Linked DNA regions of Sus scrofa. The protein of the gene in region 2 purifies or fractionates together with the protein of the main gene of each other region. This does not show direct contact. Links are inferred from orthologs where the notes say so. Each region holds a gene or a part of one and is shown on either strand. Other genes may lie near its edges. The genes, in order: DUSP6, MAPK3 and DUSP9.

Region 1 (5,769 bases), on a different chromosome or scaffold from region 2:
TGGTGACACCTGGGGCCACATACAAAGAAAGCAGCCCAGTGGATGCTGCTAAGAGAAACTGCTAAAGGAACGGACACATCCCAGCGTGGGGCCTTTCACGTGGATTGCAGGGAGTCCACCTGGTAGACGTTCTGGTTGGAGGGGGTGGTGAAATAGAGCTGCTGGGCGGGGACGCGGTTGTCACAGGGGCTGCTGAGTCCCAGCGTCCTCTCGAAGTCCAGCAGCTGGCCCATGAAGTTGAAGTTGGGGGAGATGTTGGATTTCTTCATCTTCACAATGTCATAAGCATCATTCATCGACAGGTTGAGCTTTTGCATAAGATAAGCCACAGTCACAGTGACCGAGCGGCTGATGCCGGCCAAGCAATGCACCAAGACACCACAATTTTTGCCCCGGGCTTCATCTGGAAACACACAAAAAGAAAGGCAAAATGTCAGTAGACCGAAAACCACCCTTTGTGAGTGCTCAGTCTCGAAACTGAGTAACAGCAGTAATAATAAAGATAAAAAATAATCGTGTGTGGCAGTTGAGCCCTGCAGGCAGCAGAAAATGTATTCCTGCGATAAAACATGTACACTGGGCACAATTACATATTTCAGATATTTTCTGAAAAGGGAGCTTTTGTATTAAGTTTCTGCCAACAAAAAACTCCTTAATGTGTGCATTCTTTGCCTCAGCATGTGAATACCAGAAACCCTGCAATATGGTCGTGAATGCCTTTTATACAGACAAGCAGACTGCAAGGGTCTATTAAATTATTCTCCAACTGTTGTGCCGCTAACAATGGAGGTATTCAGGCATTTTAAAAGAGAGAGGGAAGTCACAGGGGACAGCCCATTAGGAGGAACAGGATGTCGACATGGCCTGAAAATGAGTTCCTTTGTAATAGGAAATGCATTACAATGCCTGGAGATTCGCTTCTCCAGGCTCTCGGCCCACAGTCCTTCCTGCTGTGCTCAGGTTACCCTCGCCGTCTCACTGCTAAGCAGTGTCACAGGAACGTCCAGCTGGATCACAACATCTAGCATTCACAGGGCTTTTGGACACCGTGGTGTCCTGCAACTCGAAGAGCTTTTAAAATTACAAAGCCATGCTAGAATTCCTGTCTACCCTGTGTACCTCTGGGACCCGGCCCTCCTTGAGTCCAAAGATGGGTGGGGGGGATTCTGCTGTCTCCTTCTGAGTGCCCTCCCCCTTTCCAGTGACTGAATTCCAGGTCAAGAAGCAGACAGCGTTTCAAATACACCTGTGGCCTGCCGCCTTGTCAAAAGGCCCTTTTTCTTAACAAGAAGCTAAGCGACAGAATTGAGAATGCCCTTGGAACGTAGAGACCTGCAGTCCCACAAGTTAGCAACAAGAAAGGTGAACCCCTCGAACTCTAGGAATGGTTCTGAATTTTGCATTTAAAAGGCTGCGTGAGGGCTATTAGTCTCACCTATGAAAGAAATGGCCTCAGGGAAAAACTGGGACAGGTTTTGGCTCCAGTGATCAGAGATGGGGATCTGCTTGTATTTGAACTCTCCTGCGTTCTCAAAGAGGTTCGGCAAGTTGGGGGTGACGTTCAAGATGTACTTGATGCCGAACTCCTCTAACACGTCCAGGTTGGTGGAGTCCTTGGCACAGCCCAAGTAGAGGAAGGGCAAGATCTCCACGGGGAAAGAAGGCTGGCTGTTGGACAGCGGGCTGCCATCGGAGTCTGTTGCACTATTGGGGTCTCGGTCAAGGTCAGACTCAATGTCCGAGGAGGAGTCGGAGCTGATCCGCAGGCCCCCGAGCCCCAGAACTGGCAACGGCGGGGAGCTGCTGCTACACGAGCCGTCTAGATTGGTCTCGCAGTGCAGGGCGAACTCGGCTTGGAACTTACTGAAACCACCTGCCAGGACGAGAAAAGCAATCTTGTAACCCGAGATACCGTAGTAGTTTTCACAGGTTGGAGAGCCGCAGCCGGGCTCAGAAACACACCACAGCACCTTACCCCCCCACCCCCCAAACACAGAGACAAATACAGGCGAAAGGCACTTAAAGGTGCACCCTTGGGAACAGAACGAACAGGCCCGCCTCCCCTGGGAACCCTTATTTTTTTGAATCCGGAAATGCACAAAATGGCAACTTTTCTGAGTATCTACAAGTGCCAGAAGGTGCCTGCCTGCACCCCCACGGCCTCTGCAGTCCTGCGAAATCTGAATTCAAAATCAAACGTAGAGGGAAAGTGGGGGATATGCCGGGTAGGAAAAAGAAGAGCTAGTTCCAAAGAAACGACGCGTGCCTGTGGCCGGAAGCGGGTCGATTCCGCGCGGGCCCGGCTCGCGGGCCGCGAGAGATTCGCCGCCGGGAGCCGGCAGACAGCTCCTGGCGCACAGCGCGGCTCTGAAGCGCCAGCCAAGCGCCACAGGGGCGCTTCCAGTCGGCGCGCCCCGCCTGCACCCGCAGCCGGGGTCCCCCGCCCTGCCCCAGGCGCGGGACGCCCCCGGCGCGTACCTTCTAGGTAGAACGCCCGGCAGCCCTCGTCCTTGAGCTTCTTGAGCAGCAGCCCGAGCACCGACTCGCCGCCCGTATTCTCGTTCCAGTCGCTGCTGCTCTCATCGTAGAGCACCACGGTGTCGGTGCCGCAGCGCCGGGTGAAGCGGTCCCGGTCCTCGCCGCGCGTGAAGAGCGCGCGCACCGGCAGGTTGCCCTTCTGCAGGCGCCGCAGCATGATGCCGGGGATGGCCACGTTGATGGCCGACTCGATGTGCGACGACTCGTACAGCTCCTGCGGCCGGCAGTCCATCAGCAGCAGCCGCTCGTTGCCCAGCTCCAGCTGCTCGTTGAGCCACGCTACCGTCTTGCTAATCGCCATCTCCGACGCGAAGGGCACGGGTCTGAGCGTATCTATCATGGGGGTCGAGCGGCCGGAGAGGGCGAGGTGCCTACCAGACTCCCCTCGGGGCAGGCATAGGCCGAGCGCGCCGCGCCAAAGCCGCCGCTCTTGGAGCGGGGTTTAATGCCACCTCTCCTTTCCCGAGCCGGGTTAGCGGTTGGGGCAAGCGAGACAGAAGTAAGCCGGCGGTTCCCTCTGCACCCGGCTGCAGCCGCACGCTCTTGGTGTCAATGAATCTCTTTGAATGAAGCTGCCCAGACAGTTTTGTTCCTCCCCGGTGAATGAAATCCAATTAATTCGGACTTCGTGCTACTGAGAGGAGAGGAAAAAAAAAAAGTCCAGCAGCTCCTGAGCCCTCCCTCCAAACTGCACCTCAAATCCACCCGGGCGGCTTTCTCCTCGGATTATTAAAGCCTGGATTTGCTCACTCTCCCTTGGACTCAGCCCTCGCACACCCCCTGCGCGAGGCAGCTCCTCAATGGATACAAACAGCGAGCGTCTCAATGGATACATTCTCCCCGCCAGCCAATGAGCACGCTGCGGAAGGGGCTGTTGCCGTGGGGACGGGCCGGCTGGAACAGGTTGTGTTGATGAATTGTTAATGAGTTTGTCATTCACAAAAACGGAAAGGAATTTCCGCTCCGGATAAGCCCCAGTGCAAACAAGCTGCAACAGCGGGCTCGGCGGGAGGAAGGAGAAAGAAGGGGAGGCGGCGGCGGAGGAGGAGCAGGGCACACAAACCAGGGCACTTCAGTTGTCTCATGTTTCCTTCTGTTGAGAGTTCACACTTAGCGTCGGAACTTTTGCGCACAAATGGTGCAATTAGCAGGCACAAAAGCCGTTGTTCGCGACGCCTGTGCGCGCAAGCTAGCTTTAGGGAAACTAGTGCTGACTTCTTCGCTTTTATTCCCTTTAAACTCCTTTGGACTGGAGTTCACTTTAACCTCCCCCTCCTCCCGTAGGCAGTGTGTGGCATTTGTTTGCCAGTTTAAAAAGCCCGGCTCTGTTTGCTTCGATGTTCTTTTAGCCGAGACTGTGTTGGGGCTGGTGGACTGCCTGGGCTTTAGTGACCGATGAGGTGTTAAATGCTAATCCAACATCTTTGGAGACAAACCAGGGTTTTGTTGAAACATTTTTAAGCAAGCAAACAAACAAATGCTTGGTTGTCCAGATAATAGAAAGCAAGCTTTTTTTTTTTTTTTAATAGCGCTTTAATTATTTTTTAAAAACCGTGGAGGCTGTAGAAACAAACTCGTTGGGCAATCCGGTGCTTTTATTCCTCTCAGGCGGCGTGGGGGCGTTATGAGCCATTGTTCCGGGGATCCGACCCCCTCACCCGCCGTCACCTACTGCACGCGGCGGGGGTCGCGCTCCTTCATCATTTCTGAGCAGCGAGCTCAGCTTCCGACAGAGGAGCCGGCCTGGCGGGGCTGCCTGGGCTAGGTGCACCAGGGCGTCCGGAGCCGGGCAGGCAGCCCCCACCATCCGCAAAGCGTGAGGAAGTCTTCCTGCGAGGCCGGCAGGCCGCGGGGGCTCAGGAGAGCTCCGCGCATTGCCTACTGTAAACCCAGAGGCTTGTCAGAGGAGAGGCCGCCCGCCCCCACGCTCGACATCCCGCGCGGGGTTACCCTCTTCCCTGCGCGGCAGCAGCCCCCTCCCCTGCGTCGCCGGCGACTCGCACAGCACCGCCCGCTCCTGCGCGTTGCGCTCCTTGCCGGCGCCCGCCGCCTCCGCCTCCGCGTTCAGCGGGCGGGGGCGCCGGGCGACCCCCAAGGCAGGTGGGGGGGCCCAGGGTGGGACTTGGGGGTCTGGGGCAGGTGTGGGCTAAGGAGGAACGCCAGCCGGGCCCCCCTCGCTCCCGAGGCGAGCTGGGAGTCCTGGGAAACGTCTCCGCCACGGTGCAGGGCTCGCAGGTAATTGGAGAGGTGCCGGGCAGGCCCCCTCGGCCGGGGGACCGCGGGGCAGGGCGGGCGGCTGGGGGCCGGATGGAGGCGTGGCGGGCCGGGGCCGCCGTGGCGGCGGGGAGGCGCATTCCCGGCGCGCAGAACTCTATTGTTACATACAAGCACCGGGCCTGGCGCTCCCGAGCGGAAAACCACCTGTGTGCGGCCGGCGCGGCGCGCAGGCGGGGCGGGTGGGGCTGGGGGCTGCGGCCGGAAGGCGCGGGCCCTAATCCGGCTGCCCCTCCCGAACCCGCGGCGGAAAAGAGGCTGCGCATTGTCCCGCCGCGGCGGCGGAGGCGGAAGCGGGGGCAGCGGCTCGGCGGGGAGCGCCTCTGCCGCCCCCCTTCCCGGCGCTGTGCGCCCACTGCTGTGTGGCAGAGGGCACCCGAGGTCGCGGGGTCTCCCCTAGCCAGACGCCCCGCACCCACGGGCCTGCCTGCCGGCGCCCCCGCTCCCATTTGCATTTTTAGTCACCCGCCTCTTCCCGGGTTTGAAGAATGTAGGCTAAAAAAAGGCGGCTGCGAGGCCCAGGTTGCCAATTTTGGAGCTCGGCTGCGGGCGGGCCGCCCCTGGAGGAGCGGGTTCCGTGAGAGTGGGGGTTGCCGCGCTCTTGTCCCCGTGCCTTTTTTGGGCATCACTTGGAACCGAATTCCCATCTTTCACTGGATATCGTGCAGTGCCAGCTGGAGGAGGCTTGCGCTGGAGTTGACACCTCCGATCCGCCCCCACCTGTTGTAGGCGTCCCTACCCAAGACCATTCTGTCCCTGGGACCGGGAGCCCGGGAGGGGAGAGGCGACGGAGCTGAGCAGGGCAGAGCCTTTCAGGCCAAGACCTCTGACATAAGAGGCGGGGAGGGCAATCGGTTTCTGCTCAGCTGTGTTTAGAAGGGCGGTCCCCTGAGCCTGGCAGTCAGTTTGGGAGGATGGTCGCAGCACTTCTCAAACCTGAACCTTTTAGCCTCACCC
Region 2 (4,463 bases):
CCCCGTGTTCATGTGTCTCATTTTCCGACCCTGACCATCCGAGCCGTGTCCCCCACCAGCCTGCCGGAGCCCTGACCTCAGCTCCCCTCATGTTATCTGCGCAGCCGAGTGGGATGCGGCTGGGTTTCCTTATCTGGGAATGGGGCTAACCAGGAGCACCCGGTTCAAGGTACTGCTCTAAGGACTGGTGAGTGAACACACGGGAACCTCTTTGCTAAATGCGTGGCGCTTGGGAGGTGTTTGCTCTCCTTATCAGGACTGTCTCCAGGAAACTGAGGTGGAGGAGGGTGAGGTGTCTTGCGCAAGATCAAGCAGCCCTTATTACGCATCAGAGCCGGGCCTTGAACGCGGGGGTGTCCGCCTTCTGCTATCAGGCCGCAGCTGGCCTGGGACAGAAGGGAAACTAGAGAAGAGTGGGGGTGGGGGGAGGCCCGGCAGGGTCCCCCACAGGTATGTGAACTGCTGACCTGATACTAAGTGTGAAAAGGCCTGGCATATATGGGTCAGGCTGGGTGCTGGCAGCTCCTCCCAAAGCAATTACTGCTCCACCTGCCTCTCTGCCCGTCCAAGGGGAGCCAAAGCCTGGTTCTGCTCCATGATGGGTGGGAGGGGCCCTCAGTGACCTCTGAACGCTCGCTGGGGCTGGAGTTGCCAGGGGTTGATAGATGGGAGACGTGTGGGGCCGGAGGGGACCACCGGGTCTGTGGACGAGGCTGGCTCTGGTCCTTCTGTTGCCACCACACCTGTGGCTTGTGGATATGGGAAAGCTTGGGACTGCGTGGGGGCCTGCTGGGCGCCCTACTCTCAGGGGGATTCTGGGCGTGGGTGGTTGCGGGGCACTCACCAGGCCCCAGAGAGCAGAGGCATCTGTCCAGGTTAGGGGGCCTCCAGCCCTCCGGGCTGGAAGCGGGCTGTTTCCTGGAAGATGAGTTCCTTCAGCCGCTCCTTGGGTAGATCATCCAGCTCCATGTCGAAGGTGAAAGGCTCTTCGGCCACTGGCTGAGGTGGCAAAGAGGCGGGGAGGCTCAGGACAGGGACCCAGGGGTGCCCACCCATCCGGCCTGCCTCTCTGGCTGGCCCACCTCATCTGTTGGGTCGTAGTACTGCTCCAGGTAAGGATGAGCCAGTGCTTCCTCCACTGTGATCCGTTTGTTGGGGTTAAAGGTCAACATCCGGTCCAGCAGGTCAAGAGCTAGGGAAGGGCAGGGGTCAGGGGTCAAAGGGAGGGCCAGAGGAGCTCCCAGAAGCATTACTTTGCTTCTCTGTGTCCAGCGGCCTGTCTACTCAGGCAGCTGCAGGGCTCATGTACTTTCCCCTGCACCCAGGTTTTTTTTGTCTTTTTGCCTTTTCTAGGGCCGCACCTGCGGCATATGGAGGTTCCCAGGCTAGGGGTCCAGTCAGAGCTGTAGCTGTTGGCCTACGCCACAGCTCACAGTAACTCGGGATCTGAGCCGCGTCTGCGACCTACACCACAGCTCCTGGCAACGCCGGCTCCTTAACCCACTGAGCGAGGCCAGGGATCGAACCCGCCACCTCATGGTTCCTAGTCAGATTCATTAACCACTGAGCCACGACAGGAACTCCATGCACCCAGTTTTTACCAAACACACACTGGCTCCCACGCTTCTCTCACCTTTGGGGTCCGACTTGGGGAAAAGCTTGGCCCAGGCCACCTTGGTCTTGGAGGGCAGAGACTGCAGGTAGTTTCGGGCCTTCATGTTGATGATACAATTCAGGTCCTCCTGGGATGGGGAGCCCAGGATACCTGTGGGTAAGCAGGTGACCCGGTGAGCAGCCTATTCCTTCTGGGAACGAAAGGAGCCAAGAACAAACGCTCCTACCAACTTACTCGAGGACGACAATTATCTCACAGCCGATACTGCGCTGGCAAAGAGCAAGAGGTCTGGCTCTGGGCAGCCCTAGGTTCAAATCCCAGCTCTAGCTTTTCCTAAGTGTGGGGCAGATGTAGTCTTGCTGTTCCCATCTATCCAAGGGGGACACTCTCAAGTGAAATACTGTGAAATGCTCAAGGGGCTGCACACACCGTGGTCCCCCCGACCTGCCTCTCACAGACTCTCGGACACTGACCCTGACCTTTAAAGAAATCTCACCTCCAATAGGCTAATCCCCCGCCCCGACCCAGCTGGCCAGGCCCCCCCTCACCCAGAATGTGGTTGAGCTGGTCCAGGTAGTGCTTGCCCGGGAAGATAGGCCGGTTGGAGAGCATCTCAGCCAGAATGCAGCCCACAGACCAAATGTCTATGGACTTGGTGTAGCCCTGGGGAGGAGGAGAAAGTGGCAGGCTCCCACCCCAGTCTCAACAGGGCCCTGCTGTTTGGGCCAAGCCACCTCCCGCCCCCATCCCTGAAATCTAGGTTCAAGGCCAGCCAGGGAGGCAGAGGGCAGAGGCCCAGAGAAGCTAATCTGCAGTTTTGTTCCCAAGAACCAGAATGAGGTGACAAGGCCCGGGAGGTGGACTTCCTGCATACGGGCACGGGGGATGTCAGTGCCTGGCTCAGAGGCGACTCCAGGGCTTTCTGGAACCCGGCCCTTTCACTTCATGGGTTGTGGGGGCGGGGGGGCTACCTTGGAGTTAAGCATGATCTCTGGGGCCCGGTACCAGCGCGTGGCCACATATTCCGTCAAGAAGCCAGTGTGGTCATGCTCGGGATCCGCGATCCGGGCAAGGCCAAAGTCACAGATCTGGAAGGCAACCCAGGCTGCTAAAGCTCGGGGCTCAAGACCGCCTGGGCCCAAGCAGTCACAGGGCCATGCCGCTGCCCGTGCGGTTCCCTTTGCTCGTGATGCTCTGCCACCCCTGGGTGCTACGGGTCACCGGGAAGCCTGAGACCCAGGGGCAGGATGGGCACCCAACCCTCTGACCTTAAGGTCGCAGGTGGTGTTGATGAGCAGGTTGGAGGGCTTTAAATCCCGGTGGAGCACGTTGGCGGAGTGGATGTATTTGAGGCCCCGCAGGATCTGGTAGAGGAAGTAGCAGATGTGGTCGTTGCTCAGCTGCTGGCTTTTGAGCAACTTGTACAGGTCTGTCTCCATCAGGTCCTGCACAATGTAGCTGCAGGTGGTACCAGAGATTCCCCCCCCCCAGGTGGGGGCGGCAGGTGGCACTTGGTTAAGAAAAACAGGCTCTGGTGACTAGGATGCGCCCCTCCAGCTGATGCCCCTGGGACTTAAAGACCTGCCAGCTAACCCTAACCCTAACCCTAACTTAAAGACCTGCCAGCTTATATGAGCAAGGCTCATACTCAGCAGGTGGGCTCAAGACCTCTGCTGGCGCTCAGCTGGTGACCCCTGAGCAAAGCACTTCAGTTACGTGGCTTCCGTTTCCCTACTGGGAAAGGGAGGACAATACACTGCGGGAGGCAGGAGAGCGTCACAGTTAAGAACAATAGCTCTGGGGAGTTCCCTTTGTGGCTCAGTGGTTAAGGAACCCGACCTGGATCCATGAGGATGCGGGTTCAATCCCTGGCTTCGCCTCAGTGGGTTAAGGATCTGGCATTGCCGTGAGCTGTGGTGTAGGTTGAAGATGCAGCTCAGATGTGGCATTACCGTGGGCTGTGGCCGGCAGCTGCAGCTCTGATTCGACCCCTGGGCCGGGAACCTTGATATGCTGTGGGTGCGGCCCTAAAATGCAAAAAAAAAAAGAGCATCAGCTCTGGAGGTCACCTGCCAGCATCTCAATCCCTCCTCCACTGCTAATGGGTCTTATGACCTTGACCATCTATGCCTCTATTTCCGCATCTGTAAAGTAGGGAAAAGAACTCTTCTTTAGAGGAGTTCCCGCTGTGGCACAGCAGGTTAAGGACCAGGGTCACCCCAGGTGCCATGTGGGTTGCAGCTGTGGCTTGGAGTCGATCCCTGCTTTGGGAACTTCCACACGCCACTGGTGTGGCCAAAAAACAAATAAACAAACAAAAAAGGAATTGTTCTTTAGAGAGGGTTGTAGAGATAAGCTGAGATGATCCACGTGGAGCACCAGCCAGCGCCAGGCATGTTTTAAGTGCTTGGCAAACATAAACTAGTATGGCTGTTATAAAAGCCTGAGCCGCACGGCTGTTGAGAAGGTTAAATGAGATACTGTATGAACACCATCTGGCATGCAATACATGTTTGCTTAAAAATAAATGCCTGCCTTCTGGGCATGGTTTGTGCAAGACAAATGAGGAGAAACCCCCAACAGCAGGCTCCTACTCAGGGTGCTTGGCCATACACCCGAAGATCGAGGGGTATATGAGTCCTTTTAGATCCTAAGATAAAACAGATTAAACATAAAGAAATGTCACATGACTTGTTTCTGGAAGAATAAATTAGGACTGTCAGAATCGGCCTCAAAAGGGCCTTCTGAGAACATCCGGACCAACCCTGCTGCGTTGTTTGTTGTTGTTTTTTCTTTCTGCTTTTTAGGGCCACACCTGCAGCATATGGAAGTTCCCAGGCCAGGGGAA
Region 3 (5,820 bases), on a different chromosome or scaffold from region 2:
CACAGGAGGGGGCCGGAACCGGCACCCACGCCCTTCCCGAAGGAGGAGACCACAAAGAGAAAAGTAACAGTCACAGAAGAGGCAGGTTCCGGAGCGGGGTTCCGCCCAAAAGCGGCGCGGGTCGGGCCGGTGGCCCCAGGCCCGGCGCATAGGCACGTTTAATAGGGTGTTTCTCTCCCCACGACCAGCCTTGAGGGGCTCCCGCTCCTGCCTCGTCCCACGGCCCCCCATGAGGTATTGCGCTCCCCCCACCCCCACCCCCCCAGGCGGCGCCCCCTCCTGCCCCCTCCCCAGCGCGCGGGTGGCTCGGAGCCCCCGCTGGGGGGCGGCCCGGGGGGCGCCCTAGGTGGCGTCCAGCTCGAAGACGCCGTCGCTGGTAGGGGTGGTGAAGAAGGAGGGCGGGTCGGACGCCGCCGACTCCTGCCCCCCGCTGCCCCGCGCCCGGGCGCGCCGCTCCTCCAGCCGCAGGCTGCGCTCGAAGTCCAGCAGCTGCCCCATGAAGTTGAAGTTGGGCGAGATGTTGGACTTCTTGCGCTTGACCAGGTCGTAGGCGTCGTTGAGTGAGAGGTGGAGCTTCTGCATGAGGTAGGCCACGGTGACGGTGACGGAGCGGCTGACGCCCGCCAGGCAGTGAACAAGCACCCCGCAGTTCTGGGACAAGGCCTCGTCTGGGGGGGGCGGGGGGGGGCAGAGCGCGGCCGTGAGGCGCGGGCGCGGGCGGCCTCCCGGAGGGCCCCTCGAGGCCGTCGGGGGCCCGAGGGCGGAGGAGCCCCGAGAGCGAGGGCCAGAGGGAAGGCGCGGGCGGGGGACTCACCGATGAAGGCGATGGCCTCAGGAAAGAACTGGGACAGGTTCTGGCTCCAGTGGTCCGAGATGGGGATCTGCTTGTAGTGAAAGTCACCATTCTTCTCGAAGAGGTTCGGGAGGTTGGGGGTGACGTTGAGGATGTAGCGGATGCCGAGCTTGGCCAAGCTCTCCACATTGGCTGAATCCCGGGCACTGCCCAGGTACAGGTTGGGCAGGATCTGGACGGGGAAGGACGGCAGCAGCCCTGCTGGGGGGGGCGTGGCGCCCTCCGAATCCAGGCCGCAGCTCATGGAGTCGCGGTCGGGCTCAGATTCCCCATCGGAGCAGTCGGAGCCCAGACACAGGCCACCCAGCCCCACCACGGGGCTGGGCACCGGGGCTGCACTGGGGCCCCCACGGCTGTTGAGGCTGGTCTCACACAGGTGAGGGCATTCGGCCTGGAATCTGCTGAAGCCACCTAGGAGGGGACAAGGGGAGGGTCCTATGGACCTGGCCTCCTGGGCAGCCAAGTGTTCTGGCTGAGGAGAGGAAAGCGAGCCCGGACCATCTCAGTGCCCCAAGGGGCTCGCAGCCGTCTCCAAAGAGAACCTGCAGGCCAGCGGCCTGACCTACCCTGCTGTCCCGGGTGGTGCGCTAGGGACAGCCCAGCCATGCTGGCTCAGGACCAGCGCCCACCGCCGCTGCAAGATGCCAGGCCCAGGCAGGGCACCCCAAGAGGCTATAACAACCCCGGGGGCCGAGCCAAGGCAGGCAGGAAGGCTCCATGGAGTTTAGATGTCCTGAGAGCCTTGGGGAGGACAGCAGCCATCAGTTAAAGAAGAGGAAACGGTCGGATGTGAGTTCTCTGCCTGGGTGTCTCCCGATCCAGCCTGACCAGGGAGCACTCGAGGGCAGAGACCAGGTGACAGCCATGTCTGTGCTGCCTCCAGGGATGAAGCTGGGGCCCCAAGAGGCAGAAGGCCTGGGAGAGTGTAGCACTCCGCCTGCATGGCCCCAAAGTCCCAAGAGGCGCACACCTCCACCTGCAAATAACTACGATTTCCTCGGGTGCGGGGGGGGGGGGGGCTGGAAACGCAGTGTTTTCTGTATTTCTATATCCTGGTGCACTCAGAATGGAGCAAGTGACGACGGTTCAACGAACCTCCTTGGGGCGGGGCGGGGCGGGGGGGCAGCTGGCTCTGCAGGTTCATGGGCATCCTGTTGCTACCCTGGATCTCTGGGGGTGTTTGGCTTGGCAAGGAGCCAGTGTGCCTGCATCAGCCCACCTCCCCTCCACCCCCAAGCCCTGCCAAGACTATAGGGGGGCCAGGTCTCTGCCTCTTCTTGCCTTCACTGCCTCTCTCCCTCTCTCCCCGCCTCTGCCCTCTCCAGACCCTTTGCAGAGTGGGATTTGTCCCAGCGCCTGCCTCCCTTGCCCATGGCTGAGCAGCTGGGGGAGGTGGGGATAGGGCTCGGAGCCCACACTGGGTCCTCTATTCCTTTTTTTTGGGGGGGGGTCTTTTTAGGGCCGCACCTGCAGCAAGTGGAGATTCCCAGGCCAGGGGTCCAATCGGAGCTGTAGCTGCCGGTCTACACCACAGCCCCAGCAACGCGGGATCCGTGTCGTGTGTGTGGCCTGCACCCCAGCTCACGGCAATGCCGGATCCTTAACCCACTGAGCGAGGCCAGGGATCGAACCCGCGTCCTCACGGATACTAGTTGGGTTTGTTACCGCTGAGCCACAACGGGAACTCCCTTTTATTTTCCTTTTTTTAAACCCACTGAGTGAGGCCAGGGGTTGAGCCCGCACCCTCATGGATATTATTCAGATTCTTAACCAGCTGAGCCACAAGGGGAACTCCTTTTTTTTTTTTTTTTCTTTTTTTCAGCTGCACCCGAGGCATATGGAATCCCGGGGCCAGGGAATCTGAGCAACAGCTGCAGCAATACCATATCCTTAGCCACTGTGACGGCTGGGGATGGATCCAGTGCCTCCACAGAGACAAGCCAGATTGTGAACCCACTGTGCCGCAGCGGGACCTCCGTGGATCCTCTATTCTGGAGGCCGGCCCGATTCGCCCCATCTTCCAGGCTCAGAAACGGGGGCTCCCAAGAGTGAAGGACTTCCCCAAGGTTACGGTCAGGGTCCCACCTCCACTTTAGACAAAATGAGGCCAGACTCGCCCAAGGTCAAAGGAATTATGACTGCCCTCAGAAGGCATAATGCTTCCCCTGGGCCAGGGTCCTCCCCAGGCTGGTGCCCGCCGGGCCACCACCCGCACCTACCCTGCAGGTAGTACGCCAGGTAGCCTTCCTCTCGCAGCTTCTGGAGCAGGGTCCCCAGCACTGACTCGGCCTCCCATTCCTCGGCTTCGGCCTCTGCCTCCCCGCGCCTGTGCCGGCCCCCGCCCTGGTCGTACAGGAGCACTGGGGCGGGCGGGGGCGGCTGCAGCGGGGGCCCGGGCAGCAGCGAGCGAACCGACAGGCTCCCCCGCCGCAGGCGGCGCAGGAGCAGCGCGGGCAAGGCCACGCTCAGCGCCCCGCCGATGCGCGCCGACTCGTACAGCTCCCGGCTGCGGCAGTCCAGGAGCAGCAGCCGCGGCCGCGGGGGCGACAGCTCCCGGCGCAGCCACAGGCAGGAGCGGCCCAGACCCTCCATGGGCTCCCGGCTCCCGGCAGATCGGGTCTCAGGAGCTGCAGAGAGAGGGAAGGAGCTCGACGTGAGCCCGTGTCCTTCGCGCCCGGCCGCGAAGGGCCGCGGGCCCAGGGGCCAAGACGTGAAGCCAACCCCGTGTCCCCAAAACGGGAGGCTGGGGTCCCCCGGGGACACCCTTCTACCGCCCAATCCTCCTCTGGCACGCCCCTAGACAAATACCCGCGCTGCTCCTCGGTCCCGCAGAAGAGGGCAGCTGGGCGTCCAACGGCCCCTTCCAGAGCCAGAGCCAAGCGCCGTGTCCCGTCCTGGCTCCTCCTGGGGGGCCCAAGGCCACAGCCACCTTCCCCCACATCCCCTTTCCGCATCTCTCACTCCGCCTGCCCGCCGCGCCCGCACGCACTCTCTCCACTTTCTGGCTTCCAACTTTGGGGGCGGGTGTGAGCGCACGCTCGCCTGAGGGGGGCGAGGCCGAGAGCCCCCCGTGGCCAGGCAGCCTGGGGAACAGAGGTGGTGCCGAGGGGGGGGCTGGACCTCGGCTGGACCTCTCGGAGCTGCCTCCCCCAACCCGCAGGAAACAAAAGGAGAGAGACCTGGAGCGTGATCCGGCGGCGAGCGGCCGTGCATGGACGTCCCAGCCACGGCCACCGCAGGATGTGGGGCACTGGCCCCGGGCAGGGTGTCCTCGGGCCCGGCCACTGGGAAGAGGGCGGGCCGGCGGAGCAGGCGCGCACGTGGAGGCCGAGTCCACCACCGCCGGCACACTGGCCGCTTCCTGGCAGCAGGACCCAGCTTCCACCTTGGAAGCCGCTGCCTTTGGACGTGGAGTTGCCGTTTAGAGGGGCGGGGCGGCGGGGGCGGGCTCAGGGGGCCAGCGAGCCAACGAGTGCCAGTGAAAGCAGTTGAGTGGGCCCTGCAAGTGGCGCGCTGAGCCGGGGCTTCCACCGAAGCGGGACAGGGCCAGGGCAGAGGCCAAGGGCAGGTCAGGGGCCCAGCAGGGGACCAGCTGCAGCTCCCCCGGCCGGCGCCAGTCAGGCCCCTGGAGGAAGGGGGAGGGGTAAGGACAAGGGCCCAGCGCCCCTGCCCCAGAGGCTGCCTCCAGCTCTACTCATCTGGGGGGACCCGGGACTATCCTGAGCCCTGACTGGCCTTGAGTGGCCCTGTCTACATAACAGGCTCATCAGAGCCACCACCTTGGGCTACCAGGGGAGGCCCCTGAAATCACGGAGGGGAGGAGGAAGCAGCACCCAAAACCCCTGCTGCTCAGGCCCACAGCTCTGCTCTTCCCGCGCTATGGATCCTGGCAGCCGCCCCAGCTTCTGGCTTTGCCTCCTTTCTCGGCAAGAGCCGCGTACTTTCGACTTCAATGTCTCCCGCCCCTGTGCTGTCCCCTCTCCCCCCTGCCCTGGCACAGGGCATCCTCACAGCTTCCAAGGCCCTTGCCCTACCTCCCGGCTGCCTCGCACCTCCTCGGCACCGTCCCGCGCAGCTTATCCACTCAGCGAAGGCCGGGGGGCCTCCAAGCCTTCCATGGACACAGGAGGATCAACAGACGGGACACACTGGCCCCTGCTCGCCCGGCACGCCCCGGCTAGCGGCTAGCGGGACAGGCCGGCAATAAACGGGGAGACCGAACAAGATAATACGGGGCATGATAAGGGCTGAGACAATGAAATAAGGTGGGGGAGCTTTCTGAAAAGTCTGGCTCTGTGTCCCTTCTCTGCTTAAAACCCATCTAAAGCAAATAGCAGGGCCGAAGGAAAATGTGCAGCAGATAAGATAAAGCTCATACAAGTTAATCAAAAGGTTAAGGCTCCAATAGATAAATGGCCAAGGGACCAGAAGAGACCGCGTGGGCGGGGAGATGGGACCCAGGGAGAGCACCGCAGGCGAGTGAATGACAAACACAGGCTAACACCTCCCACCTGCTACACTGGGAACGGGGTCTCAAAATGAGAACACCCAGTGCTGGCAAGGATGCTGTGAAATCGGCCTGCCACTCGATTGCTGGTTTCTAGAGGGTTCTCTGCTGGTATGGCCCTTTTGGAAATTAATCCGGTGACATGCATCCAAAGCTAAGAAGAAATGCCAGCCACACCCTCTGGCCACTTTGGGAAATCTACCCCAAAGAACTCAGTAAAAGAAGGCAGAGCGATGCACACAAGACCTGGAACTAGGGAGTGAAGTGTGCAAAGCCACTTTAGGAGGGCTCAGTCCAAACGCTCACTCCTCGCTGGGACCACAAAGTCCGATGAGACCACTTGGGAGGTAACGCAGGTTGCAGAGAGCCAGGGCGCCTCCGAGGGGCCTCTAGCGGCCCCCTGCCTCCCATCAGTCCCGGTGTCTGGGACCGCCTGCAGCCAGGCGCCTCAGGCAGCTGG

The links.
Region 1: the proteins of MAPK3 (region 2) and DUSP6 purify together in Homo sapiens (affinity purification with mass spectrometry; 7 studies listed by BioGRID and IntAct, with this or other methods). This does not show direct contact. The link is inferred for Sus scrofa from reciprocal best matches to the Homo sapiens genes MAPK3 and DUSP6.
Region 3: the proteins of MAPK3 (region 2) and DUSP9 purify together in Homo sapiens (affinity purification with mass spectrometry; 4 studies listed by BioGRID and IntAct, with this or other methods). This does not show direct contact. The link is inferred for Sus scrofa from reciprocal best matches to the Homo sapiens genes MAPK3 and DUSP9.

What each region holds. Positions count from the first base shown.
Region 1 is NC_010447.5:93,300,628-93,306,396, reverse strand, and holds the start of DUSP6 (dual specificity protein phosphatase 6), read right to left. Parts: upstream 3,340-5,769; 5' UTR 2,879-3,339; coding exon 2,479-2,878; intron 1,874-2,478; coding exon 1,436-1,873; intron 404-1,435; coding exon 96-403; 3' UTR 1-95. UniProt on the Homo sapiens protein: Dual specificity protein phosphatase, which mediates dephosphorylation and inactivation of MAP kinases. Has a specificity for the ERK family. Plays an important role in alleviating chronic postoperative pain.
Region 2 is NC_010445.4:18,292,431-18,296,893, forward strand, and holds part of MAPK3 (mitogen-activated protein kinase 3), read right to left. Parts: intron 3,074-4,463; coding exon 2,884-3,073; intron 2,704-2,883; coding exon 2,587-2,703; intron 2,279-2,586; coding exon 2,164-2,278; intron 1,766-2,163; coding exon 1,634-1,765; intron 1,193-1,633; coding exon 1,083-1,192; intron 1,000-1,082; coding exon 877-999; 3' UTR 845-876; intron 1-844.
Region 3 is NC_010461.5:124,407,734-124,413,553, reverse strand, and holds the start of DUSP9 (dual specificity protein phosphatase 9), read right to left. Parts: upstream 4,014-5,820; 5' UTR 3,795-4,013; coding exon 3,662-3,794; intron 3,481-3,661; coding exon 3,073-3,480; intron 1,265-3,072; coding exon 815-1,264; intron 669-814; coding exon 343-668; 3' UTR 1-342. UniProt on the Homo sapiens protein: Inactivates MAP kinases. Has a specificity for the ERK family.